3 linked regions of the Rhinolophus ferrumequinum genome follow. The main gene of each other region encodes a partner of the protein of the gene in region 3 in a complex. Links are inferred from orthologs where the notes say so. Each region holds a gene or a part of one and is shown on either strand. Other genes may lie near its edges. The genes, in order: STX6, VPS54 and VPS51.

Region 1 (10,435 bases), on a different chromosome or scaffold from region 3:
CTTCCCGGGATTTTTTGTTACTGGTCGGGCTTGTGGTGAGGAAGAAACACGTCGGACCCGGGGGTCGATGCCGCGGCGCAAGGCCCCCGAAACTCGTCGCGGGACTCACTGAGCTAGTGCAGCGCAGACACAGAGGTCAAAGCAAGGGTCTGAGCAGGAAAGAAGGGGGCGATGCTGAGAAGGACAGGGGGTTCCCAGGAGGTTCTTCCCAGCGTGGCTTCCGCCCTCTCAGAAGGTGGGTGACACACAGGGACCGCAGGGGGAACTGTGCAGCGAGTCCGCCGCTCCACCAAGTCCCGGGTTTAATAAACACACTTCTCCGCCCTGGCTCCGTCCACATGTCACCGCACGTTTCCGGAGGCCAAGCTCTGCCGCCTACGCCGCCTCAGCGGGGGCGTTCGGGGCAAAGGGAACTCGGGATACTCACGGGCAACGCTGTGCTTCACCGTTAACACAATAAGGAGACGTAACAGGAGCACCACCAGCCCCTCTAAAGTCCTTTCCTTTCAGATTCTTTTAACCAAAACACCGACAGATCCCTGCGGATCTTTCAAGAGCCTCGACTCCACCCGCTCCTCAGAGATTCGGCGACGGCGCGACGCTCAGGGCTCTCTCCCAATAAAATAGGAGCTGTGTGCGGTGTCAGCAGTTGCTAGGTAGAATAGAGAGAGACGAAAGTGCTGACTGGCCTTCAGGATAACTTCTAACCCATTGCTGTTTTCAGACACTGCTTGCTTTTTTTTTTTTTTTTTTTTTTTTGGTGTGCCTCTTGGCCCTGTTCCCAACCTTTTTTTTTTTTTAAAGCTATTATTAAATTATTTTTCAATTATAGTTGACATACAATACTATATTAGTTTCAGGTGGTCCTGTTCCCAACTTTTAAACATCTGTGGAGCAGAGCTATGCGCAAGGCGCAGGGAACACAAAGGTTAATCACCCCTGGTCCCTCACGGAGCTCAAAAGGAAAGAAGCCTTTGCTTCTTTCTCCCGGGGTGCACGAGAAAGATTCACACAAGGTTCCCAGGATTTGGAACTCCTTGCTCTGACTTCCTACGATAGTATAGTTCATATGACTGATGTGACGTGGCATCTATCGCTCTTAGACTGTCTTGTCATTTTTAGCTTAGGTCTATCCTCCAGCCCAATAAGCTCCAAAAATGTTTGTTGAATAAAGGAGAGCAAGTAAAAGGCCTAAACGAAGATTCCGAGAGGCAGACACTGGCTTGCTTAATTAGCAATCCCGGGGTCAAGCTGCGACTACACTGTCATTAGGAAGAGCATGACAAGTTGGGAAACAGTAGCTTAAGTTTGTCCAGGGAGCTGGAGGACAGGCCCAGACAAGAAAAAGGAAGTGGAGGTTAGTGGGAGAGATGAGTGGAGGCAAGGCCATGAGGAAGGCCTTGGTTCAGGGACCTAGGTTTGCATCACAAGGTCCTTATAAGAGGCAGGCAAAAGTGTCAGAATCAGGGAAGATGTGACCTTGGAAGCAAGGTGGGAGTCGTGCCATTGCTGGAAGGGAGCCAAGGAATGCAGACAGCCTCTAGAACAGGATGGAGAAGGAACAGCTTCTTCCCACAAGCATGCAACCCTGCCAACACTTTGATTTTAGCCTGTGAGACCCACTTTTGGACTTCTGACCTCCGAGCTATAAGAGAATAAATTTGTGTTGTTTAGGCCGCTAAGTTTGTGGTAATTTGTTATTGCAGCAATAAGAGACTTGTCACTTGTTGGGATTTCACAGTACTATTATCACATACACATAATCACCAGTAGTCCTCTTGAGCCATCCCAAGTAAACCTCTAATTTAAGAAAAGACAGTGGGTCTGCCATGTAACTTCAGTTCAAGCCTCCTCGCCCTGCCGTCTGAACTTTAAGTTAAATTCTAAAGCCTGCCCTATGGAGAAATTCTGGAGCCACTTCTGAAGGTTATGTATGTATGTTGCTCAGCACAATGTCTGCTACATACGTAGTAAGTAATTGTTAACAATCATTGTTACTGTTGTTATTCACTACTTCACCACCAGAGTGTGGTTGTTCCTTCCCTGCACACCAACAAATTCATAGAGATCGTAAAGAGCATAACTGTCCTCCTACCCTGGTTCAAATTCACTGTTTCGTCAAGAATTTCACTGAATTCCAATAACATATTTTAACTTTTAATACTTGCCAATATCCATTCATTTATACATTTCTAACTTGCCTGACTCTAAAATTAATCATTTAAAACTGCTAACTTTTGTTGTAGTTTCACATACGTGGCCACAACTTTCTCACTTCTCTTATTTTTTATTTTTATGTTTTTATTTTTTGTATTTCTGATGATCCAGGTAAACATTTCATTATGCTAAACTTTAAATACATTTCTTTTTTTCTATGTATAAAAATGAACAGAGTTGAAATGATATCATATATACAATTTTGTCTTGCAATCTTCCATACATGTCATTACATACTTCAAAATAACGTTTCTAATGACCATCAAATGGATTTTTCATAAACTCTTAATCACTTTCTAGTGTTGGATATATAAGTTGACTAGAATTCCTCCTTATTTTAAACCAGTGTGTAGAGGGTAAGGATAGAGGTGCTGGTAGCAACCAAGGAGAGGGAAGGAAACATAACCAGTGTGTGTGGGTCGGTGTGTGGATGGACACTTTCTGTAGCTGGGGCTGGGAAACGCAGACAGCCACGGCTGGATCAGTGGAAGCCAATGTGAGCGAATGTTTCCTGGAGTATTCCAGAGCACGCATATGTATTTCAGGGTTTTTAAAAGACTGAGATAATGATGAAGAGTATAATACCTAACGTCTATGCAACACTTTTCTCCCTTACTCAGTGTTATTTCAAAAAGGATGCAGGGTGAACTCAGCAACAACAAAATCTGAAACAACCCAATTAAAAAAAGAGCAAAAACTTCAATACATTTCTCCACAGAAGATATACAAATGTTCAATAAGCCCATGAAAAGATGCTTGCATTTTAACTATAGCTTCCTTGTTCCCGGGGCAGTGGAGGCCAATGTCTTGTTTGGGTTGAGAGAGGGTGAAGGAGGGTGACATTAAAGGGACACCCCATACCCTCCCACACACATTTCATATCTCAACCCTCCAGTATGTCTGTTGCTGGTACTTTTACAAATCCCTTATTATGAGAATTCTCCAAGCCTCTGTCCTCTATCTTCTATGCTTCTGCTTTGTTTCTGACCTCTCATTTGTGGTTTAACTAATAAGCTCATGGAATAGATAACCAGAGGGTATGCTACGCATTGAGGTAAAATAATATTCTCCCCTCCCTCCAGAAGCTTCTAGTTCAGTGAGAAAAACCAACGTGCTAGCAGCTAATTTACATCCACCCTCCATCTAATTCTCCTCCTGTGTTCTCTTTCCTGGTGATTGGGACTAACAACTACCTACGTACTTCCAACTCCAGAAAGGCCTGCAAGTCTTCCTCCCTCTGCTTTCAGCAACCCCCTAACACCCTGAACCAATCAGTCACCAAGTCCACTGACTTTGCCTTTAACGTATTCTCAAAAGCATCCCTCCTCTCCATCCTATTTGCCATGAGCCTATCTCAAGACACCCTCATCTCTCCTCCTCTAGACCATGACCTCCCAGTTGACCTCCCAGTCACCACAGTGTCTGTCTCAAATGCCAGTCTGACCCTGCCAATTCCCTCAGCTGCCATGATCTGTAGGAGAGTGTCTACAGTTCTTAACATCATAATCAAGGGCCCTGATCATCTGACCTTGTCAGACTCCAGCCTTAGCGCCTCTTGTCACCATCCTGTTCCTTACATGCCAGCATCACCCTCTGCCGTGGCTCCCCCACAGGCTGCAATGCAGTCTCCTGGCTGCCTCCAGTCATTGCTTAGAAACAACCCCCCCCAAATTGGTATCTTGTCTTTGTGTTTCTATGGCAACCTGTGCCCTTCTCTCATTGTGTGTAACTGCCTGTTTTTCTCACCGGTCTGAGAGTTCTTTCACAGTGAGGACCAAGGCTGTTCTTCTCTGTGTCTTCAGCACCTAGCACATAGTAAGAGCACACAGCGCGTGCCAGGCACTGTGCTAAGCACTTTTCACACATCAATTCATTGAATCCTCATGACACCCTATGCAAAAGGCATTATTATGGTGTCTACTTCAGGACAGTGAGAGAGGAAGCTCAAGACAGAACAGGAAGTAGCAGAATTGGGATTTGAACTCGGGCAATCTGGCTCCAAGTGTGGCTCGTAGTCACTATGCTGATCTGCCCCTCAATTTACATGTGTTTGTTGAAGGAATGAAAGATGATGATCCTTTTCCACCTTCCCATCTCAATATGTCCATAGCCAAATAAACAGTTCTCTCCCGATAGTTTCTTTTCCCCACTGGTCCTCCAGGTCTCCGAGAAGCCTGCACTTACACCTGTCTCCTCCCTAACCCCATTCAATCTCTCATGATGTCTAGGTGTTTTGTTTTGTTTTTCCTTGGAAACATCTGTCAGATTCATCCTGGTCTGGTCCTCATCCCTTCAGACCAGGTGAGCACAGCAGCTTCCGGACTGGTTTCCCTGATTTCACTACCTTACTCCGTTGGGGTCTTGGGCGTGTACCTGCATTTTCATTTAACCTTCATAACAGCCCATGAAGTAAATATTCTTCTTCACCTCTTATAGATGAGGAACTGAATAATAGAACCCTGGTTCAAACAGGGTTTGTCTGGCTCAAAGGACTCTTCCAACTCCAAAAAGATTGGTGACATTGGGCAAGTCACATAACCTCCAAGAGTCTGAATTCTCATTTGTAAAATGGGGATACGAACAGTAATTACCTCATTGTGCGAGCAACTGAGATGACAGCACAGTGCCTGACACACAGTAACTGCTCAGTGATTATCAGCAATTGAAATTAACAACTCACATAGCACATCTAGCATAAGAGTTGGCTAATTGTTCTGACCAAAATGCTTTGGGAAGAGTTCTTGAACCATAGCTGAGAGCAGGTTGCCATACTTGGCCCCTTCTTTGTCCCTCAAAGGTGCTCTCTCCTGGGAAGCACCATATGCCGTATGAAAAAATTACCTTACTAATTACTTGCAAAATACACAGCAAAAGAAAATACACGCCAGTCTGGTTAAAGGTGGACAGAACCTGGGGCTCTGCCCTGTCCAGGCTGTGTGACTACAGGAAATCTTGAAACCGTTCTGAACTTTTCTCTTCTATAAAATGGGGATAAGAATACCTCGTCCCCTACACGATACATTGAGATAATGCATAAACAGCCTTTATCCCGTTGCTGGACACATAGTAAGACCTAAAGGAATTGTGCAACATTGTCATAATTAGATCATGTACATGAGCACGCTTTACGGTAAGTCGAGGACGAGATGGATTTATATGTTATCAAAAGCAAGTATTAAAAGTACGTAGAGAAAAGTTATAAGGATTGTGCAATTCAGGTACTACCTCACATCCTGAAAACCTACCTGTCTTCCTCGGAGAGAAAAGGTGGCTCCTCCCCTTGAATCCTGAGGGGCGGGTTGAGAGAAGACCAGCCCCTCTCCTTCGCTCCTAGAGCCCCGCCTCCAGGGTCCAGCGACGCTTGCCTAGGCTCCGCCCACGACGGGGCGGGGGCGGGGGCAGGTCCTGGTCACGTGAGCTCGGGTGCGGAAGTGGTGCAGCGGGCTGTGTTCGTGGTTGGCCGAGGCTGTGGGCGGGGGCGGGGTCAGGCCGGCCGGACCAGCGGGAGGAGCTGGGGGAGGAGGCAGCTGCGGGGGCCGGCGCCGGAGTCTGGGATTCGATCTGCGATCCCACCGAGTGCTGGACCAGCCGCGGGCTGCATCACCCCGGCCTGCGCGCGCCCGCTGCTCTGGGATCCCCAGGCTGAGGCGCCGGCGGCTGCGGGAGGCCCGTCGGGTGGGCGGAGGGAGGATCGGAGGGCGCGGGCGCCCCGTGCGTGGAGCGGGCGTGAGGCGGCTGGGGGCCGGGACGCCATGTCCATGGAGGACCCCTTCTTTGTGGTGAAAGGGTGAGTGTCGCCGAGAGTTCCACTGAAGGAGGAGGTGGCGATGCTGCTTGCCCGCACCTCCCCGCTCTCCTTGCTGGAGGGGGAGGGGAGACAAGTTGAGGCTGGGGAGGGGATTGTGGGGACGGCTTAGCCTTCAGAGCCTTGACCAAGAGTCCAGAGACATCCCCTCCCCGTCTACCTGCACTGTGAAATCCGTGCCTCCAACCTGGGGAGGGGGTCCCCTTTGGCCTGTGCGCTGCGGTGTAACTTATTTGGGGGTCGAGGAGTTCAGCAGCTCTGCAGGTGGGTAGAAAGACGCGGGTCCCAGCTCTAGTGGAGCATGAGGCCCTGCTTCGAAGGAGGGAAAACAGCATCTGGGCAGGAAAAGGGAAATGGCCCTCCTGAGCTTTGTAGTTGGTGTTGACGGGGGTGAGCTCCCATTGTCCATTGAGATCGGAGCGCTGGCCGGCAGACTGGTGGGACCACAACCGGCCCGGAGGCGTCCAGGCACGTTTGCAGGCTGGGAGGCTGGGGAGGATAGCTCCGGAAGACAGCTCAATTCAGTGGGGGAGTTTTTATTGAGTAATGGGAGGGGAGGAAAGCAATCGTTCATACTCAGTGATGATGTTGGAAGGAAAACAAAATGAAATCAGCCAAACTAAACTTCCCTCGGCTTCCTATTAGCACCGGGATTTTCCCACAGTGCGAAAGGAAACGAGTGCTTTCTTTTCAACTCCCTGATTTCATCCAGGCTATTTGACAGGTTTCCCTACTTGTTTTTCCCTTTGAGCTGTCCTGACTCCATCTTTGATTGTTGGATTGTTTGGCGATAGAAACTTTAATAGCACTTTGTTACTGTATCGGTTTTGTAGCCATTAAACAAATGCAAGAAAGATGGATTCTTACGTTGTTACCACTTGTCAACTTTATGTTTTAAATGTCAAACATAAATTTGAGAACCACAAAGTTCCTAGATGATCAATACTGAAAATCATAAAGGGTCCCTTTGCTTTCAAATAGCTGCTGCTTACTTCCTATTTGGGGAGTGGTGAAAGCTGACCAGGTACCTGGGTGTTTATTTATTTTTGTAAGGGTTCTTAGAAAATTTAAATGGTGCTTTAGGTGAAATACTTTATTATCTATGATACAGTAAATATATTTATACGTTTCTTAATGTTTCCCTAAAAAGGTTTTTCTTCACCTTACTTTAATTGTTTCCCCAGTCTTGATATGGTTTCTTCTTTATAGCCTTCGTTATAGAACTTCTGTTCAGCTAGACTTCAGGTGGTTCTGCAGGTTGATTGTTCTATAATTTAGGTGTAATTTTAATGTGGTCACGGAAGGGGGCAAGCACAGCATTTATCTACTCCACCATCTTGGATCCCCCTTCGACCTCACTGTCCTTTAACGTAGGTGGGAAAATGCCGAATTGTAGATTTTTTAGTAATATGTGGCTCTCTACCCGGAAAATGTGTTATTTGTTAGAATCGATTTAGGGATTAACTTTTAAATGTTAAAACTGTGTGTTTTCCCCCTGAATGAAAGTTGCAAAGGTTATCTCTGGCCATGGAGACCAGAGAGAATCAGAAAAATTTTGTTTGCTTGATTTTTAATAGAATTTGTGAAAATGCTAAATTGCTGTGCCATCTGGACTTTTTTTTTTTTTTCCCTGAGAGTATGCAAGACAGTCTGTGCTTTCTCACTGATTAGCTATCACTGCTGTATTGGAACATTGGCCTGGAGTCTTGGTTGATTTTGACATCATTTTATTGCCCTTCACGTATCTGAAGGAAATGAGACTCTCAATATCTTCTGCTGTACAAAGGTAAATTTAGCCACATACAGTCTGTCAGACTGTATGTGTGACAGACTACTCGAGGAGCCTTGCACCTCTATTTATTAAACGTATTGAAAACACATCACACGATGTAGAAAAATTAAAGACACCTAACTGTGGCCCTTAGCCTAGGAGCTGATAGTCTAAACTGAGAAATAACTGCCCACAAAAGCAAGTGGAAATGATTGAGGACTGAGGGGAATGCTAGAGAAGATGGGTGACCCAGGAGTTTGGAGCAAGGTGACTCATTAGGGATGAGTAATGATTGGAAAAGCTTTTGGAGGTAGTAGTAAATCTTGAATCAGGTTTTGAAGATGGGTAGAATTTATATAATTCAGGCCTGTGTCTCATCTGGACTCTTACCAGAGTCTCTAATTGGTCTTCCTGCTCCCAGTCTCTTTCCTCTCATCTGCCCTGGGTTCTGTTGGATCAGTGTTATACAAAATATAATGTGAGCCATATATGCCATTCTACATTTCCTAGTAGCCACATTAAACAGCAAGAAGAAATAGGTGAAATTAATTTTAATGTCATCCTTAACTTAATAGATTCAAAATATTTTAACATATGATTAATATACAGATTAGTAATGAGATATTTTACTTTTTAGTACGACGTCTTCAAAACCTGGTATATATTTTGCACTTATGGTACATCTCAATTTGGATGTGAAATTTTCATCAGAAATACTTGATCTGTGTTTATTAAACTTATAGTTGAAAAGGAGATTCATATACCCAAATTGTTCCCAACATTGTTAAACATTTTCCGGTAACTGAATTGCATATCAGTTTTTAAAGTTTAATTTAAATTATAGTTTTAGTTCTTCAGTCACACTAGCAAATTTCCAGCGTTCAGTAGGCACATGTGGCTTCACAGCTCCATGTGGGTAGCACAGGAGTAAGTTTCTGGACTCTAAGAAGGGTTTCCCTACTTACCGTCACTTAGTGGCTGCCAGCTCCCTACAAAATAAAGTCCAAACACTTCATGGCCTGCATGAGTCAGCCCTCCTCTCCCTCCTCGGACTCTGCCTGGCCACAGCTCAGAGCCCAGCAGTGCCTGCCTCAGTGCAGTGAACTTGACCACGGTCCTGGAAGCTCTCAGTCCCCAGGCACCCACTCTACGCAGCCATTCACCGCGGTATTTCCACTGCAGTGTAATTCAGACCTATCCTGAGCCTCCTGGCTCTGCTGTCACCTCTGTCCCTCATCCATCCCTTAAGTGTAGCTGCTCTAGTTGGTCCTCGTGCGTGTTCTCGCGGGGTGAGCGCCATAGTCCCCATTCCCGCAGGTGCTCCCTGGGTGTGTGCACACCTGCTCCCCAGTCACTCTAAGCCAACTCTCTCCTGAGCGCTTTTCTCTTTTCCAGTCATTATTCCGTTTCCCACCCTGTGGCGTGCATCTCCGCCCCTTCTCTTTTTCTTCTCCTTCCTTCTTCCTCCCAACACCTGACCCACGCATTCATCCTCCTCCTAGCCCTCCTCACTCCTGCCTCGGCGCTCTCTGCTTCAGTCCCAGGACCACGTGGTCATTGTGGCCAATCCGTGCCACCCCGGGGATCTCTCTGGAACCTTCTCTAATGCTCTAGTTCATATCCTTGTCCTCTCCCACCTGGACTCGTATAAGCAGCTTCTGCAGCGAGCATCACACTGTTACCAGATAAGGCCACAGAGACACGCTCAGGTCATTGTCCTTTCAGAATCCTTCATTCCAAAGTACTTACTGAGAGCCGAGGGCACAGGAGCGAGCAAACAACATGCCTGTCCTTAGGGGGCTCACGTTCCAGGGACACGCAGCGTACAGAGGAACCGAACACGGCGTGTCAGGTGCTGATGGGTTCTGTGAGGAGAAGTAAGAAAACGTGTCTTCTGGGGGCAGTGTTTCCTTTTATGTGACTTTGGGAGGCGGTGAGGTTTGGTGTAAGAACTGAGCTTGGGTAATCAGGCTAATCCAAGGTTGGAATCTCAGTTCTATCGATTATTTGGTGTAATTTTTGGCAAGTTAATTATCCTCTTGGAACCCGTTTTCTTACCTACAAACTTGGCTTAATAATGCCTACTTTATTGGTCATTAGGATTACACGCATTAATACATTTAATACATAATACATGCGTAAATTGCCTTCCTCAGTTTGGGGCACATATTAATTGTTCAATAAACATTCTGTATGTTTTCATCCAAATAGGCTGACCTTGTTGAGGGGAAAGACGATGTCTTATTGGGTTGTTTTTTTTTCTGAGTAACATTTAAAATAATGTTAAAATTAAAGCATGCTTATTTTAGAAAACTTAGGAAATAAAAATATAAAAAAGAGAATAAAAATTTGTTGAAATGCCACCATCCTCCAATAATTAGTTAAAATTTTGGTGTCTTTTTTAAATCTTTGTTTCTATTAATAGTTTTATATGATACTATCAATCCGTTTTTGATCTCTTATTATAGATCTGTCTCTGTGCTAAGAACCCAACAGGAATAGTCTTTTTAATCCTTATGAAGTACTAGTACCATCATTTCAGAAATGAAGAAAATAACACTTAGTAAAGAAAACTTCAAGAAAAACTTCAATTTCATAAGTTTGGAGGTGGAAAGGCCAAAGGTTTCATATATGTGTATTAT
Region 2 (9,832 bases), on a different chromosome or scaffold from region 3:
CAAAATTTAAGAACCACTGTCTTTCAAGTTTTAGCAGAAAGCTGAACAGCTGATCAGTGGTTCTTAACCTTGGATGGACAATGGAACCATATGGAAAACTTGAAAGAAACACTGATTTCTGGGTCCTATTCCCACGGATTTTTATTTAATTGGCCTGTGACATATATAGCCTGCTCATTGAGAACCACTGACAAGGTGCTTTAATAAATATTTATCTCACTGTACTTGTCATCCACTTTGTGTGGAAAGAGAAGTGGCCAGAGGTGGCCATGAGCAGTGGCAAAGGGCGTGGCCAACTGGTCAGGGAATAGAAGAAGACAGATTGGAAATTCAGGAGCGAGGAGATCTGGAGTGGGATGGCCATATGGGAGTGGGTATAAATAAGGTATGAAAAATGCGTGTTAACACCCACCAGAGAGCATCTCTACCACCAAAGAGGCACTAAACAACCAACAGACAAAATGCTTGTTGACTTCAGTCAGCCTCCATCATCAGCTTCTAGTGCCAATATAGTAGACTATAAACAGAGTAGCTATGGTGTCAGGGTGGAGGCTATGCAAGGGCCGCAAATCATGGGCTCTCTGGGGGGTCAGCTGCAGTGCTGGTCGAAGCTGTACCACAGCACCAGCTTTCCCTCTGTCCAGTCCTGCCTACGTCCTTTCCCCTCCACAGTGCTGATCTCAAGAGCACCTCCTAATAAACTTCCTGCATGACGATCTTCTTCTCAGAGTCTACTTCCCACGGAACTCAACTTGCAACAACTGACAATGCCAAGTGTTGATGACAATGTGGAACAATTATGATTCTCCTATACCATATGTGGGAGTGTAACTCGGTACAGACATTTTAGAAAATAGAAAGAATCGACTAAAACTGAGCATAAGCATACCCTATCACCCAGGGATACTACTCCTAGGTATTTACACAAGAGAAATGCTGACATGTGGGCAGCAAAAGACTTGTACAAAAATGATCACAGCAGTACTATTTGCAATAGCCAGAATTGGAAACACCCCAAATAGCCATCAATAGAATGGTTAAAAATCTACAAAATTTTTATACAATGAAATACTCCATAGTAATGAGAACAAACTACTGCTATGCATGACATGGATAAATCTTACAAGCACACTGTTGAATGAAGTAAGCCAGACACCAAGCAATATGATGTAATTTATATCTGTTAAGTTTGTAATGTAATTCTATGTATATAAAAGTCAAAAATAGGCAAAACTAATTAAAGCTGATAGTGGTTAACTTTGACGGTACAGTAGTGATGGGGTTCAGGACACATACCCCAAAAGATGGCACCCTGGTGTATTGACTACTTTAAGCTGAAGGTGTTTGAGCAAATGAAGAGCAGGAAGGTCACTCTGACCTTCCCACCCTCACCGACCCCACCCTTCTCCTCTGAAGCAGGTCATAAAACCCTCATGTGAGAGGTGCTCTCCCTATCCCCAGAGGAAAGGAGCATTCTTGTCTGGGAAGTTAAAGGGAAGACAAGAAGAATCCTACAAATAGGCCTTACTAACTTCCCCCAGTTTAGGACAATTACCTCATACTCCTTACCCTCTCCTGTTCCTCCATGACTGTCCACTCTTCCTCAAACCTAGCATAAAATACTCAGGTCTTCATCTCCTTATGAAGGCTTCTGTGTCACATAAAACTTACGCTGAAAAAAATTTCTGTGCTTTTCTCCTGTTAATCTGCCTTTGTCAATTTAACTTTCAGACCCAGCCAGGGAACTATAAGACGGTTGAGGAAAGCTTTTTCCTCCCCTATAGTAGTAACCTAGAGAGGACAAAAAGGGGGGCTCCTGGAATATTGGTAACATTCTATTTCTTGATATAAGATGTAGTTACATGAGTTTTTTCATTTTATGAAAATTAATTGAGCCATAAATTTTAATATGTATATGTCATACATCAATAAATACTTTTTACTTGTTAGAGAAACATACTAATATATTCTTGAGTGAACTAATATGATACCTGAGTTTTTGTTTTTTTAGAGAACTTCAGACAAATAATTAGATGTGGGATAGATGAAACAAAAATATAGAATGTTAATAATTTTTAAACTGTGATAGATACCTGAAAGTTCATTTTTCTATTCTCTTTACTTTGGTGTATTTGAATACTTTTATAACAAAAACAAAATTTTTCCTCCCTTTCTTCCGCCCCCATTCCAGTTCAACTGGAGCAGGTTGAAGCTCACTGGCCCATGTGGGAATTGAACCAGCGACTTCAGCATTAGGAGCATGGAGCTCCAACCACCTGAGCCACCAGGCCGGCCCCTAAAAATATATTTTTAAATCATGGGTGAAATTTTAATCTTAGGGTGATGAAGGACGTAAAACCCAAAAGTCATAAATGAAAAAAATGATGATGGCTTCAACATCCATTCCAGCTCCCTTCCTCCCTGCCTTCCATTGTAAATGCTGTAAAGTAAAATGCTGTCATTGCTGGTTCCCTGGCACTGAGCCTGTCCCTGTGACCTAATGCTGGTTACTGAGAGCAAGGCAGAAATCATACATTATAGCTATCTACATAAGCAATACAAATCAAAATATCAATGAGATATCATCTATTTTTTTTTCACCTATTAGATTGGTAAAGATCAAACAGTTTGTTAATACCAAGTGTTGTTGGCTATTTGAGGACACACATGTTCCCCTACACAACTGCTGGAAATGTAAGTTCATATACAATCTTTTTGAGTGGTAATTTGGAAATATCTATTAAAATTCTCCTGAAAGCTAGAGCAATATTTGAGTGGTAAGGATGGGGATAGAAAGGAGGCAGTCGGTGTAAGAGACTAAAGTCACACTTGATTACAGTCATGTGTCGAAGAATGACGGGGATAAGTTCTGAGAAATGTGCTGTTATCTGGTGAACAACATAGAGTGCACTTACACAAAGCTAGATGGTAGAGTCTACTACACACTTGCCTATATGATGTAGCCTATTGCTCCCAGGCTACCAAAACAACATGAGATTAAATCAAGCACAAGGGGAAATGATGAGATCAAGACAGATGGTGAACACAAGATGTATGAGGCTACTGCTGGTGTAACACTGCATACTGTTTTACAGTAAACTTATTTTTTAATAAGCAGAAAAAGTACATTCTAAAATAATGATAAAAATTAGTATAGTAAATACATAAACCAGTAATATAGTCATTGATTATCATTATCAAGTATTAGGTACTGTGCGTAATTGTATGTGTTACAATTTATATGATTGACTGGCAGCCCGGTAGGTTTGTTTACATCAGCATCACCACAAACATGAGTAATGTACTGCGCTATGACATTACAACAGCTGTGAGGTCACTGGATGATAGCAATTTTTCAGCTCCATTATAATCTTATGGGATCACCATAATACAGGTGGTCCCTTGTTGACCGAAATGTCATTATGCAGTGCATGGCTATAATTAGATGGCTAATTAAATGTGAAGGAAAGAGTCCAAAATTTCTAGAGACATTAGTAGAAATAAACAGTCTGTTTTTTTTTTTTTTTTGCACATATTGGGGACAAAGCTCTAAACACACTAGCTATCATCATCATCATCAGAACAGATTTGACATATTGATCACTTTGCTCACCAATGCTATTTGCTTCCAACCTTACTTGTTGTAACAGCTATGATGGTGTTCTTCCAGCAGAATCTTCAGTGTTAGCCTGCAAGTTCTTGGGTTCTAATCACCTGAAGTTTGGTTTTGTTGAGTTTGTCATATGTGTGATTACTCAGTTAAAAATATATCTAATTTCAGCCTTTTTCTCCATGCCCTCTTTGCTATTGTGAATACCACAATACCACTTTGAAAATACCACATGAAATCATAATAACTTCTCTGGTATTTCCATTAATATTAAACTTTATTTTAAATTCTTTTGTTCCTGTATTGTTCAACCAGATTACAAGGAGGAACCGATCAATTTTCACATGCCCTCGGTAATTGCAATTTTCAGTACCTCAATCATGTCCCTTTGTAGTCTGGTCTCATTTGCAGACTAAACACTTTGAGTCAGTTGCTGCAGTGCAACTTGAAACCTGATCATTGAAGAAGCCTGCAATTTAGCAGAAAACAAGGCACACACCAGGATCTTCTGCTCCAGCTGCACATTGAAGATGCTGGTCTTTTTTTTCTTTTTGAAAATGCCCTTACATTGCTAGTTAGTTTAGTTGCCCTAATTCTTTCCTTAAACAATTTTGCAAAGTAGTTTCTTAAGGAATATTATACTTACCTCTAACTCCTAGGCAGCTGGCTTATGACATATCACTGCTTAACCACAACTTGTGGGAAATGACATGTGCTGGTTAAATGAAATTCCTGGTTAAATTTCTTTTTCTATCTCATCACGTGATGCGAATTTTGAGTTGCTTCGTTTCTGGAAATGATGCTACTACTGAGAGGATACATGCTGCTAGTTGCTGTTTTGAACACACCCCTGATAATATTTTTTGTTGTCATTTGTCTCTTTCTCCTAGAGGCAAATCCTTTTTCTCTGTCAATCTCTCTCTCTCTCTCTCTCACTCTCTCTCTCTCCCTCCCCCCCCTCGTAATTACAGGTGCCAGTTAATACCAGTTAATTGGGTTCTGGTTAACTTGAGGTTTTACAGTTAACAGACCAAATTACCTCAAGCTCTAGAAATTCCCTTATTTTTCCCCAGAATACATCCCCTTATTTTTCTTCTTGTCCTTTTAAACTAAAACATATTATTCACAAAGCTATATTTTCAAACTGTTTGTGAAACCACATTGTTAAAAGCTATCAAAAGCCTATTCTGTACTTCAATTTGCCAACTTGATAACTGGTGGTTCTGAATGTGTAAGCTTCCTTTGAGTATCAAGAGAGACTCAGACTATGGGATTTGAGGAGGATATGGGATATCCTTGCAGATTCAATAATGATTTGCACAGTCCTAAGCCCTAGACAGTGAGGAAAATGGGTGGCATACCAAAAAGGCAACTATCATCATTAATTCATCCAACAATTTCTTTCTTAAGTCTGCCATGTACAAGTCACTGTACTAGGGGCCATGGAGAGGACAAGCCAAGGTGTAATCGTATGATATGGAAACTAAAGGTGCATTAATAGCTTGAACAGGAACTAGTACGTCAAAAATGCCACATCCATAGTTTAGGAAATAAATGATATGACAATTGAGAGGAGGAGGATGTCACTTCTGACTAAATGATAAGGGAAATGTTATGTAAAAGCTATTACATCTGAGCTGATCCTTGAAGAAGGGATGATTTTGGAAACAGAGTTGGCAGAACCTACCTAAACAGAGGCAGGAAAACCCAAGTCTGTTCAGGGGCTGTGAGGAAAGATGCACAGTGGTGAGTAATGACAGAGAGGCTTAAAAAGGCAGGTAGAATCTAATTAGGAAACACTCTTGCAAGCTAAAGTCTGAATCTTATTCCAAACAGATGAACATTTTTGACCAAGGCAGTGGCCAAGAGCTCAGACTTTGGCTCAAATAGAGTGAAGCTCAAATCCTGATTCTACTCCCTGTGTGTGATGTGGAGCAGGTCACTTAGCTCATTAAGTTGCAGATTAACAATATCTACCTCACATGGCTTTTATCAGAATTAAATGCAATTGGGATATGAAGTTCTCAGTCATTCAGAAAACATTTATTGACCCTCTACCATATCTATCCCAAACAATGAGCTTTGTACTGCTGATACAGACATAAAGGCCGAAACCAGGTCTGAAAGGAAGGCATGAAGCAATAGAAAAGACAGATAAGTAAACAGAAAATTACAATACTGTGTAAGTGAGCACACAGAGGAACTGAGTAACTCAGTAAAGGGGATGGTAAAGAAAGCTTACCAGAGGAGGCAGCCCCTGAGGTACCGAAAGGGGTCTCTACAGGTGGGTAGAAATAGAACTTATTTTCCAAGGTTTGATTATGTTTATTAATCTTTTTGTGACATTGTAGTTTCTAGCAGAAACAAGCTTTTAAAACTCTAAATGGATTTTTGTTATTATTTATGTTGTTTGGTTGGTTGTTTTTGGCTTATTTCAAATCCAGAGAAAAAGAGATGGTGTCGGGGAGGATGCCCTATTTCTTAGCTGACAAAAGGGAAGAAAAGAGTCCGTTTGCAACCACGTTAGCAGTGGAAGAAGTAGGCAAGCCAAATCGCTGAAACATATGGAATACAATGAAAGACTTTAAAAGGAACTTGACCTAATATGACGTAGCAAATCTGGGTTTTCACTTAGAGGAGACTCATTGTGGACATTTGCTTTTCAGTCCACATTTATTTTCTCTTCTGACATGGGGCCCCAGTTTTGTTTTTTTTCTTTTTCTTTTTCTGAAGAACCACATCTTTCCTCATTCTTATTTAATATGTTCTGGTTTCAGGGTTGACTGGATTCAGGCCTGGCCAATCAGAGCCTCATCCTGGCCTCAATGGTTGGGATTGTGCATCATCTAATCAGAGTCAGGGAGAGGCAATCTGGGACTTCTGCTGAGCCTGTAGGTATGCCTTGCCTACTGGTTTGAACACGGGAAGTTGTAGACTAGGAGCTGCTGGAAGCCATCTTCCTATCACTTCCCACCACTTGAAATCTGCTATTGAAGCCAGCCAATAAGAAGGAGAGCAGTAGAATATAAAGCTGTGATCCTCACAGTAGAATATAAAGCCCATGAGGGCAGGAAGCTTGGTTTTATTTTTAAATCTTTTTTATTGATATGTTATTTACATATGAAAAAATGCTCAAAATAAATGTTTGAGTAAAAAATTATTACAAAGTGAATAGATATATTTAACTATCACCCAGATCAAGAAATCAAACATTACCCTTCTCATACCCCTTCTAATTACTACCTCCTCTTTCCTCTTGACTATTAACATCATAGTTTTGAATTTTTGAATTTTATGTAAATGGAATTATATAGTATATATTTTTGTATGTCTGGCTTCTGTCACTCACCATTATTGTAAATATCTTTGATGAACATACACATATATTTCTATTGGCGATATTTCCAAGAGCAGAATGGCTAGGTCATAGAGTATATGCATATTCAACTTTAGAAGATATTGCCAAATTATGTTCCAAAGTGATCTTGTGGATGTGTAGTACATCATTTTGCACATAAGGCTGAAACCTTTTCATATGGCCATTTGGATTTCTTTTTCTATGAAATGCTTGTTAAGCGTCTGACCCATTTTTCTATTGAATTATCTATCTTTTCTGTTTTGATTTGTTGGAGGTTTTAACATTTTTTTTATCTTTATCTATTATACTAATACCATACTATTGTCATTTTATAATAAACCTTGGTAACTGGTAGAGTATGTCCTCCTATCTTGTTCTTTTTATGAGTGTTTGGCTATTCTCGGCACTTTGCATTTCCATATAAAGTTGACCCTTGAACATGCAGGGGTTAAGGGAGCCACCTCCAGTGCAGTTGTAAATCCATGTATAACCCTTGACTCCCCCAAATTTAACTACCCCCAGTTATTCCCTCAATATCGGCAAGGGATTTGTTCTGGGACCCCTCATGGATACCAAAATCTGCGGATGCTCAAGTCCCTTATATAAAATAATGTAGATGGATACATAGTCAGCCTTCTATTTCCAATCATGGATCAAAAACAGTAGTTATTTAGTGAAAAAAAATATTCATATATAAGTGGACCTGCACAGTTCAAATCCATGTTGTTCAAGGGTCAACTGTACATTTTAGAGTCAGGTTGCTATTTTTCCACATATAAACCTGTTGTGATTGCACTGAATCTGTAAATTAATTTGGAGAGATTGACATATTTACAACATTGAAACTTCTAATACATGAATAATGCATATATTTCCATTTATTTAGTTTATCTTCAATTTATCTCAATAAAGTTCTATAGTTTTCTTTGTAGAAGGGTCTTGCATTCTTTCATTAGATTTATTCCTCAGTATTTGATATTTTTGTGCAATTGCAAATGGTAAAAAATTTTAAAGTTTTCTGTCTGTTGCTGATATATATTAATAGAAAAACAATTAAATTTTTGTACGTTGACCTTACATATTGGTTTTCTACTGGTGTATAACAAATTATCACAAACTTATCATCTTGGAAAACAAATTTATTATCTCACAGTTCCCATGAGTCAGTTGTCTGGATACAAGTTAGCTGGGTCATCTGTTCAGAGTCTCACTAGGCTGAAATCAAGGTGTCAGGCAGGCCTACGATCTCATCTAGACTGTGGGTCCTCTTTTAAGCCCACTGATTATTGGTGAGATTCAGTTCCTTGGAATTATAGGACTGAAGTTCCTCTTTCATGCTGGCTGTCATCCAGTAGCCACTCTCAGCTACTAGAGGGCAAGGCAATTTCCTGTCATGTAATCCTCTCTGAAACATGGCATTTTGTTTCTTCAAGGCCAACAGGAAACCATTTCTCTTCAAATATTTTGATTTCTGTCATCTCTGACCTCTAAACTCTCTTTTAAAAAGTCTCACCTGATTAGGTAGGGCCACTAGGGTGATCTCTCTTGATTAACTCCGTGGGTCTTAGTTACATCTACAAAATTCCTTCACTTTTGCCATACACCATAATCTAATCATGAGAGTGAAAACTCATATTCACAAGTCCACACACACTTAAGGGGAGGGGATTATATAGGGCATGGACACCAGGGGTCTGGGATCTTGGGGGACAACTTAGAATTCTACCTACCACACCGTGTATCCAGTAATCGAACTGGTTAATTAATTCTAGTAATCTAGAGATTCATTGAGATTTCCTAAATATATAGTTATGTTATCTAAATATAATGTTTTATTTCTTCCCAATTCTTATATTGTTAAAATGTCTTTTTCTTAACTTATTGCACTGTCCAGAAACTCCAGTACAATGCTGAAAAGAAGTAGTGAAAGTGGGCTTGCTTCTTTCATATCATTGTATCACTAGTGCTTAAAATAGAGCATGAGACATAGTAGTTTTCAACAAAAATTGTTAAATGAATAAATGGATGACAGCAAAGCTGAGAGATGGGGAAAATTGGTTCCTCCTTGATCATTTGATGTCAATCAAAAGTTTTCAGTGATATTAAATCTCCTGACACACAGAATAACATAAGCGAACAAATATTTGGGAGAAAATTAATTATTATGCTCAGTGGAGTTACTTGGTTTTGGTTTGTTTGTTTCTGAAGAGCACTTCTGGGAATTAAAACATGTTCAAATATCTACCATATTAAGAAAATCTTCCCTCACATCCACTTCCACCTACCACTCTATCTAGCCCCCCTTTTTTTTTTTTTTAACAACTAAGCTTCTAGAAACACTTTACTCATCCTTTGTTCTTCTCCATAAAACAGCCCTCAACTCATCGAAATCTGCTTCCAGTTCTACTATCTACCAAATTTGTCTTGCTAGGATCAGTAGTGACCTTCATGCTGCTGAATCTAATGGGCAGCATGCATCTTATTTGCTCTGGTTGACTACTCCTAGCTGTTTCCAAAAAAATTAGTTCCTTTGTCTTCTGTACCCTCAAAGTCTCATGGCTTTCCTGTTATTTCTCTGCCTCCTCTTTCTAGTCTCCCCTGGTTGCTGTTCCTCCTCTCAGAACCTAGTCTATTAACCAGAGGGATATGGTGACCACCTAGAATCAGAATGGTACCCATTGACACATATCAGTAAGCCAGTTTAATCATAAAGGTAAAAGTCTTTTATAGAAATATTTTGTTTGCTCACTAATTTGATATATGCTGATATTTGCTTGTATAGATCTGGGCCTAGTTTCAGGCCCTCTTCCCTTTTTCTTTTTTCTCTTCCTTACCGTTTCCTTTCCCTTCCCTTCCCAACTCGC
Region 3 (9,885 bases):
CCTTCCGGTTTCCAGAACAGTCGGTGCCTCAGTTGGTTTGAGCGGCACGGTCACCCTTGTAGTGGCCAGGGCCAGGGATGTTCGTCCCCATGGCTCACTTGAGGAAATGAGGCTTGATGGTGGTGCTGGGGCCAGAAGACGAGTATCGTGATGAGGGCTCCTCGCCAGGCCGCGGGGCCCCCAGGGATTGGGGGCCTGATCTGACTTTCCCCTCGTCCCCCCAGGAGCCGGGCCGGGTCTCGTAAGCGGCCTCTGACCCTGCTCCAGCGGGCGGGGCTGCTGCTGCTGCTGGGGCTGCTGGGCTTCTTGGCCCTCCTTGTCCTCATGTCTCGCCTGGGCCGGGCTGCAGCTGACAGTGACCCCAACCTGGACCCACTCATGAACCCTCACATCCGTGTGGGGCCCTCCTGAGACCTTGCTTGTGTCTGGGCAAGCCTCGGAACTGGGGGCCTGAGGAGGGGACGTGGGACAGTCTGGGGGCCTTTCTCAGCTCCTCTCCCTCAGGCTTGAGACACTAAGATCCCAGGCCCAAAGCCGAATCTACCAGAATGGCTGCAGGCTGGGCCTGGGGTCCCTGCAGATAAGCGTTCGTCTTGATCTGCTTCCCCTGGGTCTCCGGCCTCCCACCCTCCCCGACCCATGCAGGAGCGGACAGGTGGAAATAAATGACAGACTTTATTAAAACACCCGAAGCTTCCTTTTCCTTCCACCTCAGCCCAGTCCCCAAGCTTCAGTGATTCTCCTCCCGGTACTGGAGGGCCAGAAATTCCAGGGACAGACGGTTGAAGAACATGGCTCCATTGAGCACTGGGTGGAGAGAACCCCCATCAGCCTTCCCTGCCCCCTCCACGTCTCGGGGTCCCAAAGCTCCCCATTCCGTCACTCACTCAGGACAGTCAGGGCAAAGTACCGAAGAAACTTGTCGTTTAGCATCTCAGCATAGAGCGACCCCATGGCAGCCCAGCAGATACTGATCACCTGGGAGAACTGTAGGCCCCATCCAGTGGGAGAGTGGCCCCCTGATACAACAGTGGGGTTTCCATCAGCCCCTGGGCCTCCGCCAACCAGCCCCTAAGCCCCTGCCACGGCCTACCATGAGGACCACGGTGTAGTGGAAGCTCATGCGGTCGTAGTGGTGGGTGAAGTAGAAGTTGTGCACGTCGCTGGCGAGGACGCTCAGGTGTATGAAGAAGAGCATCAGGGCAGCCACGGTGAGCATCATGCCTTGAGGGAAGAAGAGCACAGCAATGCGGTCCCGCCACCGCATCGTGGCAGCAGTACAGACTCAAGTCAGACAGTAGAGCTTGAGCAAGCCGACACTGCCCAGGAAAAGCACCTGACTCTACCGCTTCTAGAATGCACAGTTTGGAATAGCAGTGGGATTCTAAAAACAGGAGGACATTCAAGGGGACAAGATTCTAGAACACAGGCTGGAATTCTAGAACACAGGAGTGTTTCATGGGTGGTTGGGGCACTCGGACTTGTGCAGGAGTAGTGGGCTAAAGGTACAGATGCGTGGGAGCCTGTCATGTTGATGAAGGGACAGCGTTCCCTTCATCCCACCAGGTACACTTACCGTTTTCCCACTGAGTCCTCAACAGTTTTAACTACTGAGTTAAGACAGAGGACTTAGTGTGGGCCCACTACAGATGAAGAACGCGGGATCAGAAAAGTGTGTGGGGGAGGAGCATGTCTCAGGTCCACAGCAAGTCTTAGGCAGATGAGAGATTCGGACCCAGATGTGTACCTGAGGGCATTCCCAGGGGAGGGGAGGCCTGGGGTTGGATCACAAGCTCTAAGTATTTGCTCCAACCCCTATTGGGAAGGAACTAAGGGAAAGAAAGGGACAACAGATTCCCCACAGCTGTCCAAGGACTTTGCCATGCCCTCCTTAGGTGTGGCCCTGAGCAACTGGACTGTCCATCTTCTCCCCAGATGTTCTTTAAGGACCTGATGCTGACCAGCTTTCCCTCTCTGCCACTTCCCGGCACTCAGCATTTTCACACCCATCATCTTTGTCAACCAAGAGTCCCATGAGAAAGCTGGGGCCGGTGGCATAAATCCTGTTTTACACGCAAATTTGAGGTAGAGAGAGGGATTGTCAGCTCAAGCTTTCACAGCCAATGACTGGGGCCATTAGTCCTGAGGCTAAGATCCAGTTCTACCTGAGGCTGTGAAATGAGCAGGGACAGTTAGAAGCCGAGAAGAAAACATTTCCTCCACACATGCAAGGGGAAACCTCCAGGACTGGACTGTCAACAAAATAAGCCAGAAACATGGCCAGAAGTGGTGTGAAGGGACATGCAAGCTCCCAGAAACTAAAGTAGAAGAAGGAGGACTTGATGTTGAACTTGGCCGTCCCCACTGCCTCTTACCTGACTGCCCCAGAAGTTAGTTAGGTCCCAGGTCAGGCCAAGACGCAAATTCTTCTGTTTTGAAGCAGTAGGGTTAGAGCCTGACCTCACCATCCATGTTTACTACCCGGAATCATTAATCACCACAGCCTCTCAAACCCCATCCTAACACATTAAAGGGGTGATGCCCCAATGCACACCTATGATCCCACTGTTGAAATGCACAGCTCAGTTCTCATTTGAATACAAATTAACTTTTATATGTTAGGGCTCCTAGTTCAATGCCATTTAAGCAATCACCCAAGTAGTATATGAATATGTTCTTATAAAAGATTTGTGACCAGCCTGGTGGCTCAGGTGGTTGGAGCACCGTGCTTCTAACTCCGAGGTCGCTGGTTTGATTCCCACATGGGAATCTGAGCTGCGCCCTCTGCAGCTAAGATTATGAATAAACTGCTCTCCCTGGAGCTGCCCTGCTGCGAACAGTCGGAGGTCGTTGTAAGGTGCAGCAAGGCTGCTGTGTGCTACCAGGAGCTGGCCTGCGGCCAGCGTGAGTGGCCAGACCAGCGACCAACTGCCTCAGCTGGGGGGAGTGCAAGGCTCATAATACCAGCATGGGCCAAGGAGCTGGGTCCTACACGACTAGACTGAGAAACAACTGGCTTGGACAGGAGTCGGGAGGGGGGAGGCGGAAGAAGGGGGGAAAAAGATTTGTATACTACACCAGCATACAGAGGAAAATGTAACAGTCCTCCAGAGGTAACCCCTTCAACAGACTGGCGAGTGGGCATCATTTTGGTCCTCTATTGATGTAACTTCATACATGTACATGCACGTAGGAGTACACATGCATAACATAAAAAACATTTTTAAAAGCCACCCATATGTATTGTCAAAGTACAACTTTAAAAATGTTATAAACATCTCAATGTAGAATGAATATGTAACTAAGATGCGTTAACTCATTAGAGAGGGGGTTTCTCCTCAGGTGGTAAATCATCCTGAAGAGCTGGTTATTGACAGGCATTTAAAGAGGAATGTTAGAATGTGGTTATAGGTTAGATACAAAACGTTGATGTTCCGGGCAGCCAGATGGCACAGTTGGTTAGAGCACAGTTCTCAGCAACAAGGTTACTGGTTCAATTCCCACATGGGATGGTGGGCTGCATCCCCTGCAACTAAAGATTGAAAACAGCGATTTAGAGCTGAACTGCGCCCTCCACAACTAGATTGAAGGATAATTACTTGGAGCTGATGGGCCCTGGAGAAACACAGTCCCCCAATATTCCCCAATAAAATTTAAAAACAAACAAAAAAACAGGATGCCCTACAGGGCAATTAATAAACATTTTAGTAAAAATAATAACTTTGAGGGTAATTTTTTTTTACTAGACATGTTTTGCATCTCTCCTGGAAAATACTTGTAATTTCAGAGTCTGAATGCTGAATAGTAAATAACAAAATCAAACAAATGTCCATTCCTTTGGGTAATTAATCCTTGGGTGGGCTTGTGAAATAATGGCCCAGTATGACATTGGAAGGACATACTACACTCTTGGTCTTATTTCCAAATTTTGGATAATTTTTCTTAATATTCTGCAATTTTAAAAAATGTTTATAGGCCTCTTGGAATAAATCTAAATCTTTATACTCTTCTTCATTATTTTAAGTTTATAGCTTCATAGGCTGAAATCTTCATTTTTTTTAAACATCCTCTGAATATCCCATATATTCAGGGATCAGCAGGCTTTTTCTGTAAAGAACCAAACAGTAACTGTTTTGGGTTTTGCCAGCCATATGGTCGCTGTTGCAACTACTGAACCCCACCATTGTAGAGAGAAAGCAGGTATGGATCATGTATAAACAAATGGGCATGGCTGTGTTCAAATAAAACTATGGACACTAAAATATCTCATACAATTTCACATAATTTTCATATGATTTTATGAAAATAATTTCTAAATGAAGATATAGTTGACATGTAACATTAGATGCAGGTGTACAACATGATTCAATATATATATTTCAAAATGATCACAAGTCTAGTTATCATCCATCACCAGTTATATTTTTTCTTGTGATCAAAACTTTTGAGATCTACTCTATACGAATTTCATATAATTTTCACGTGTCATGAAATGTCATTCTTATTTTTTTCAACCATTTAAATACGAAAAAAATCATTCATAGTTCACAGGCCGTATGGAAAGGTGGTGGAATGTGTTTGGCCTGCAGGACCCTGACAAATAAGGCTGTTTCCGTTCTAACCCCACCCCCTCCCAGCCCATCATAAGTAATGTTTCAAGGACAACGCTGATAAAGTCGTTTTCTCCGTTCAAACTCAGCAGGTCTCAGTTTGAACTCCAAGTCATTCTGTCCTCTTGAGCCCTTCCCCTTGGCGAACACCTTTGTCCAAATCAGAAACCCAACTCCTCACTCCACATCCTGTCAGTCATTTAAGATCAGGAAGTCTGTCTTCTAAACACGGAATATTTAAGTGCACCAGAACGAATTGTGGACTTAAAAAAAAAAGAAGCAGCATCTAGGTTTGGGGGACGCCCAGAGTCTTAAAATGCACCACAGGTAATTAACGAAGGCATTTCTGATGTATGTCACAGGACGAGGCCTGGAGACACACTGCGCTAGAGGCACCATACGGCGTACTGTACCTGCATTTAATCCTCCGCAGCCCCCCTTGAAGTATGCACCCCAATTTTAGGAACTAAGGTGGAAACTGAGCCGCTGCCCAGGTATCCAGGCAGTAGGAGGATGCCAGGCACACGCTCTCTGGCTGTACAGCTCGCGCCCCGTCCGCTGCCTCTAGGGACATATTCCGAGGGCCCTTGCCTGTGGGGTGCGGGGGTGCGGGGTTGGGAGCAGCGACCCACCCTCCCTCAGCCAAGGTAGCAACCCGACCAGTTCCATAAAATCCTTCCACGTGAGAAGCTGGGGGAAACCAGAGCTCTCCCGGAACCTCTTCGCTTGGGGAGGAAAGATACGGGGGAACTCTAGTCTCAAAGTACCAACATCGGCCGGGGGACGTCGCACCTGATGGACTGCCTCGTTTCAACAACAACTTTATGGTTCCCGGAAGTGCCTCCTCCCTGTCCCCTTCCCTGCCTCACGCCGGTGGGCTGCAGTTAGAGCGATGGCTGCAGCAGCCACTGGGCCAGGCCCGGGGTCTGGACCTGGGGACTCCCCGGAGGGGCCTGAGGCGGAGGCTCCGGAGCGTCGGCGAAAGGCGCACGGAATGCTGAAGCTTTACTACGGCCTCTCGGAGGGGGAGGCGCCGGGGCCAGACCCCCTGGACCCGACAGACCTCAATGGGGCGCACTTCGACCCGGAAATGTATCTGGACAAGGTATGTGTGTGTGTGTGTGTGTGTGTGTGTGTGTGTGTGTGAGGGAATCAGGCCCCCGATATATTGCACTCTCAGATCATGCCTCCGACTTTGTTGTGGTGAAGGAAGCAGTGGTTTATAAGAGGAAGACGACCCTCGGCCTAGCAGTTGGGACAGAGCTGAAGTCTAAGGGGGCGTGGTCAGATTTGGACTGGCCTGAGGAGGCGGAGGTCTCCTGGTGTTCTGCTAGGCCCAGCATAGGGAGCCCGGCCCAGGCGCTGACAGGCACAGCACTGGGCCTTGGCTGAGGATTTCAATGCTGACAAACTCCAAATAGGGTCCCTCAAACCTAGTCACTCCTGAGCCTTATAGACTCCATTTGGGGATTCCTGACGGGGGCTGGGATCAGGGTTTTCTTGCACCGCAAGCCTTCCAATGAGGGGCAAGGCTGGGGGACATGAGTATCCTCTAACTTGAACACTAACCACCCAATTTCCTCCAGCTGCGTAGAGAGTGCCCCCTGGCCCAGCTGATGGACAGTGAGACGGACATGGTGCGGCAAATCAGGGCTCTAGACAGCGACATGCAGACCCTGGTCTATGAGAACTACAACAAGTTCATCTCAGCCACAGGTGATTCCCACAGGGACACGCCCTTCACAGTCCCACCTCCCCCAGTTCCTCCCCATGTGTTGGGGAAACTAGCTGGGGATTTAGAGGGAGGAGACCCAGATTCCCTTCCTGCCTTGACATTCATCCACTCTCACCTCTCTCTCAGATCTTTTGTGGTCATATTACTATAGAGGTAATAGCTATTGTCACAGGGTTGTTTTAAGGACCAAAGGGCAGAAAGGACAAATGAAATTTTGAAACAAATGTATCTGAAATACTTAGAATCCCTGACCCTAAGGATGCCTTAGTAAGGGATAGTTTCTTTCATTAGTGGTAGCTTTCTTCTCTGTCCAGGTGTGTCTTGAGAATGGGCTTGCCCCTTCCTTTCTTCCTTTCTTCCCTCTCCTCCCCCTCCCTCCCTCCCTCTTTTTTTAATTAAGCAAAGAGAGAATACTTATGACATTAAGAAACACAAAGATCATAAAGAGCTCTTTTTCCTTCTGTCCCTTTTATTCTCTCTTCAGGACATTGTTAGACAATGTTTAACTGTCGTCCACACTAGCTTCTGTCTTGTGTTGGTGAAATTCACTACTCAGGCTTTTGTAGTAATGTTGGCCCCACATGTACCGTACTTAGTTCTGGAGGCAGATCCCAGGGGTCTACCTGCAGTCCATGGGAATGTTCCATGAACCTCTGTGGAGTGCATTCTGATGTCTCTTACTCTGCTAGTGTCGCAGTGGTTGGTGTGGAAACACATTGTCATTGTTCTTTTATCTGATTTGAAGCCGGTTCGGTGAGTAGGTGCCTTTCTATTTGCCAATACCAGAATCAAACAGCAAGAAGTCCTACTTTCTGTGCTGAAAAATTTCTCACAGGAATTATGCAAACATTACATTTTTTCATTTGTTAGAATATGTGAAGGGAAGGAAGATCACACAAAGGAAACAAGCATTTGGGGAGGTTTGAGGACAATCAGGAGCCTGGGTGTCTCAGAAGCTAAATGAAGAAAGCATTCCAAAAAATGGAATTGATAAGCTTGGGCAAAATATGAGTGCATGGGGTGCTTCTCCGTGGTGCGAGGGAGGGGGCATTCTTCAAATTTCTTTGTTACTGAAAACAGGTACTACTGTAGGTCTTCCTAAAAGTGAACTTGGGGAGAGCTGGGGATACCTGGATTTGGTCTTCGTCCGCTGTCCCTGGCACATAGCTCCTAACACCCCTTGGGATTTCCTGTATAAAAGCCAGAGTGGCCTCTTTTGTTACAATACTTAGTTTTGTTCCAAGTTCCTGAAAAAGCTCCAGATCAATAAAGGTGAAATGGATGTCTTTTGTTATTCATATAGTCGGCCTCTTCCCACCACTCCTGCGTTTATGTTAATGAGATGATTTTTGGAAAGCCCCAAGGTAATCCAAGGATGGGGGCAGGTTGCCAGGGGAACCAACCACTTGATCAGAGGGTTGAACTTTCAGCCCCACCCCCTAGACTTCCCAGGAAGTGAGAGAGGCTGGCGATTGCGTTCAGTCACCAGTGTTCAGTGACTTGATGAATCCTGCCTGTGTAGTGAAGCCCCCATAAAAACCAAAGGACAGGGTGTGGAGAGTTTCCAGGTTGGGGAACACGCGGCGGTTGGGAGAGTGGCATGCCCAGAGAGCATGGAAGCTCCGCCCCTTCCCACTTACCTTGCCCCCTTCCATATGGCTGTTCCTGAGTGGTATCCCTTTGTTATAACCTAGTGATCTAGTAAGCAAACTATTATTCCTGAGTTCTGTGAGATGTTCTAGCAAATTAATTGAACCTGAGGAAGGGGTCATGGGAACTTCCGATTTATAGCTGGTCAGTCAGAAGCTGGTCAGTCAGTGACAACCTGGAGTTGCAGTTGACATCTGAATTGCGGGGCAGGGTCGTCCTGTGGGACTGTGAGGTCTAGTGCTAACTCCAGGTAGATAGTGTCAGAATTAAGTTAAACTGTAGTCGCAGGAATTGCTGGATGTGTGGAAAATTCACACTGGTGTCAGATGTGAACTAGTATTGCAGTGGAGTATTAAGAGTACAGAAGACAAACAGGAGTGTGTGTTTTCTCTGTAGACACCAAAAATTCACATAGCGAAAGAAAAAAAATAGATTGGATTTTATCAGAATTAAAACCTTGTGCTTCAAAGGACACTGTCAAGAAAATGATAGCACAGCCCACAGAATGGGAGGAAATGTTTACAAAACAAATTTCTAAGGGTCTAATGTCCAGAATATATAATGAACTTTTACAACTCAGAACTAAAAAGAACCCTATTTAAAAATGAGCGAAGGATTCAAATACACATTTCTCCAAAGAAGATGTATAAATGATCAATGAGTACGTGACAAGATGCTCTCAATGTTGGTGGTTACTAGAGAAATGCAAATCAAAACCACAGTGAGATTTCACTTTACACCCACTAGGTTCGATAAAGCCGGTTCGGTGAGTAGGTGCCTTTCTATTTGCCAATAGAAAGCATCCTGCCTGTGTAGTGAAGGATGTAGTGTAGTGAATTTCTTCACATCTTCACCACTGTTTGCTATATTGCAGTTTTGGGTCACTAAGGTGACCCCTCATATGTTACTGGTGGGAATGCAAAACGGTGCCCCCCGAAAACAGTTTGGCCATTTCTCAGAAAGCTAAGCTCGGAGTCATCATATGGCCCAGCAGTTGTCCTAGGAATATGCTGAAGAGGATTGCAAAATGTATGTTCGTAAAAGACTTGTACACAAACATTTATAGAAGCATTATTCACAATAGCCAAAAAGTAGAAGCAACCCACGTGGTCACTAACTGACGGGTAGATAAATATGGTAGATCTGTATTTGTCATAAAAAGGCATGACATACTGAAACGTGCTACAATGCAGATGAACCTCAAAAACAGGGTAAGTGAAAGAAGCCAGACCCAGAAAGCAGTATATTGTGTAATTCCATTTATGTTAAATGTACAGAATAGGCGAGTCCATAGAGACAGAAAATAGATTAATGGTTTCCAGGGACTGAGGCATGGCAGCAATAGGAGGTAACTACTAAGGGATATTGAGGTTTCTTTTGGGGGTCAGGAAAAGTTCTAGAATTGATAGCGACGTTGGTTGTACAACTTTGTGGTTAAGCTAAATGTACTAAAAACCACTGAATTTTCCGATACATCCATTATATCCCATTAAAAAACAAAGAACTAGCAGGTATCAAGCCAGGTTTGGTTTGTAGGCTATAGTTCTCTGACCCCTGGCTAGACATTGAATTTGTTTATGGATGAATGCATTTTTTTCATCTGTTTCCCAATTGGAAAGGTCCCAAAGGCTGTGCAGTGAAAAGCCTCGTCCCCTTCCTTTCCCCGGCAAAGACAAAAGCGATCTGTGACAGTGAGCTTTACTGACATGATCAGACCTACAGAGAAGTACACAGGTCTTAAGTGGACAGACAGCTGCATGAATTTCCCAAATGGAACCCCCGTCTGCACTCAGCATGACCAGCAAAGCCCCCTCCAGCCTCCCACCAGTTGCCCCCAGTCCTTTCCCTCGGTAGCTAACGTTTTGGCATCCAGATGGTTGTCATTCACCC

Evidence for each region.
Region 1: the proteins of VPS51 (region 3) and STX6 are in contact, whole or in part, in a crystal structure (PDB 4J2C), measured with the Homo sapiens proteins. The link is inferred for Rhinolophus ferrumequinum from reciprocal best matches to the Homo sapiens genes VPS51 and STX6. Residues at the interface, in NP_037397.2 of Homo sapiens: Ala33, His34, Met36, Leu37, Leu39, Tyr40, Tyr41, Gly42, Leu43; in NP_005810.1 of Homo sapiens: Met3, Glu4, Asp5, Pro6, Phe7, Val9, Val10, Glu13, Trp59, Asp60, Asp63, Leu64, Glu66, Thr67, Ile70, Val71, Phe78, Arg88.
Region 2: VPS51 (region 3) and VPS54 share a complex: the UniProt entries of both Homo sapiens proteins name them as parts of the golgi-associated retrograde protein (GARP) complex. The link is inferred for Rhinolophus ferrumequinum from reciprocal best matches to the Homo sapiens genes VPS51 and VPS54.

What each region holds. Positions count from the first base shown.
Region 1 is NC_046305.1:13,348,293-13,358,727, reverse strand, and holds the start of STX6 (syntaxin-6), read left to right. Parts: upstream 1-5,742; 5' UTR 5,743-5,969; coding exon 5,970-6,004; intron 6,005-10,435. UniProt on the Homo sapiens protein: SNARE promoting movement of transport vesicles to target membranes. Targets endosomes to the trans-Golgi network, and may therefore function in retrograde trafficking.
Region 2 is NC_046296.1:25,817,708-25,827,539, forward strand, and holds the start of VPS54 (vacuolar protein sorting-associated protein 54), read left to right. Parts: upstream 1-5,785; 5' UTR 5,786-5,894; intron 5,895-9,832. UniProt on the Homo sapiens protein: Acts as a component of the GARP complex that is involved in retrograde transport from early and late endosomes to the trans-Golgi network (TGN).
Region 3 is NC_046294.1:6,509,499-6,519,383, reverse strand, and holds the start of VPS51 (vacuolar protein sorting-associated protein 51 homolog), read left to right. Parts: upstream 1-5,381; 5' UTR 5,382-5,502; coding exon 5,503-5,715; intron 5,716-6,196; coding exon 6,197-6,326; intron 6,327-9,885. Other genes in the region: ZFPL1 (zinc finger protein-like 1), read left to right, coding at 225-411; cation channel sperm-associated auxiliary subunit TMEM262, read right to left, coding at 501-807, 920-987, 1,094-1,267. UniProt on the Homo sapiens protein: Acts as a component of the GARP complex that is involved in retrograde transport from early and late endosomes to the trans-Golgi network (TGN).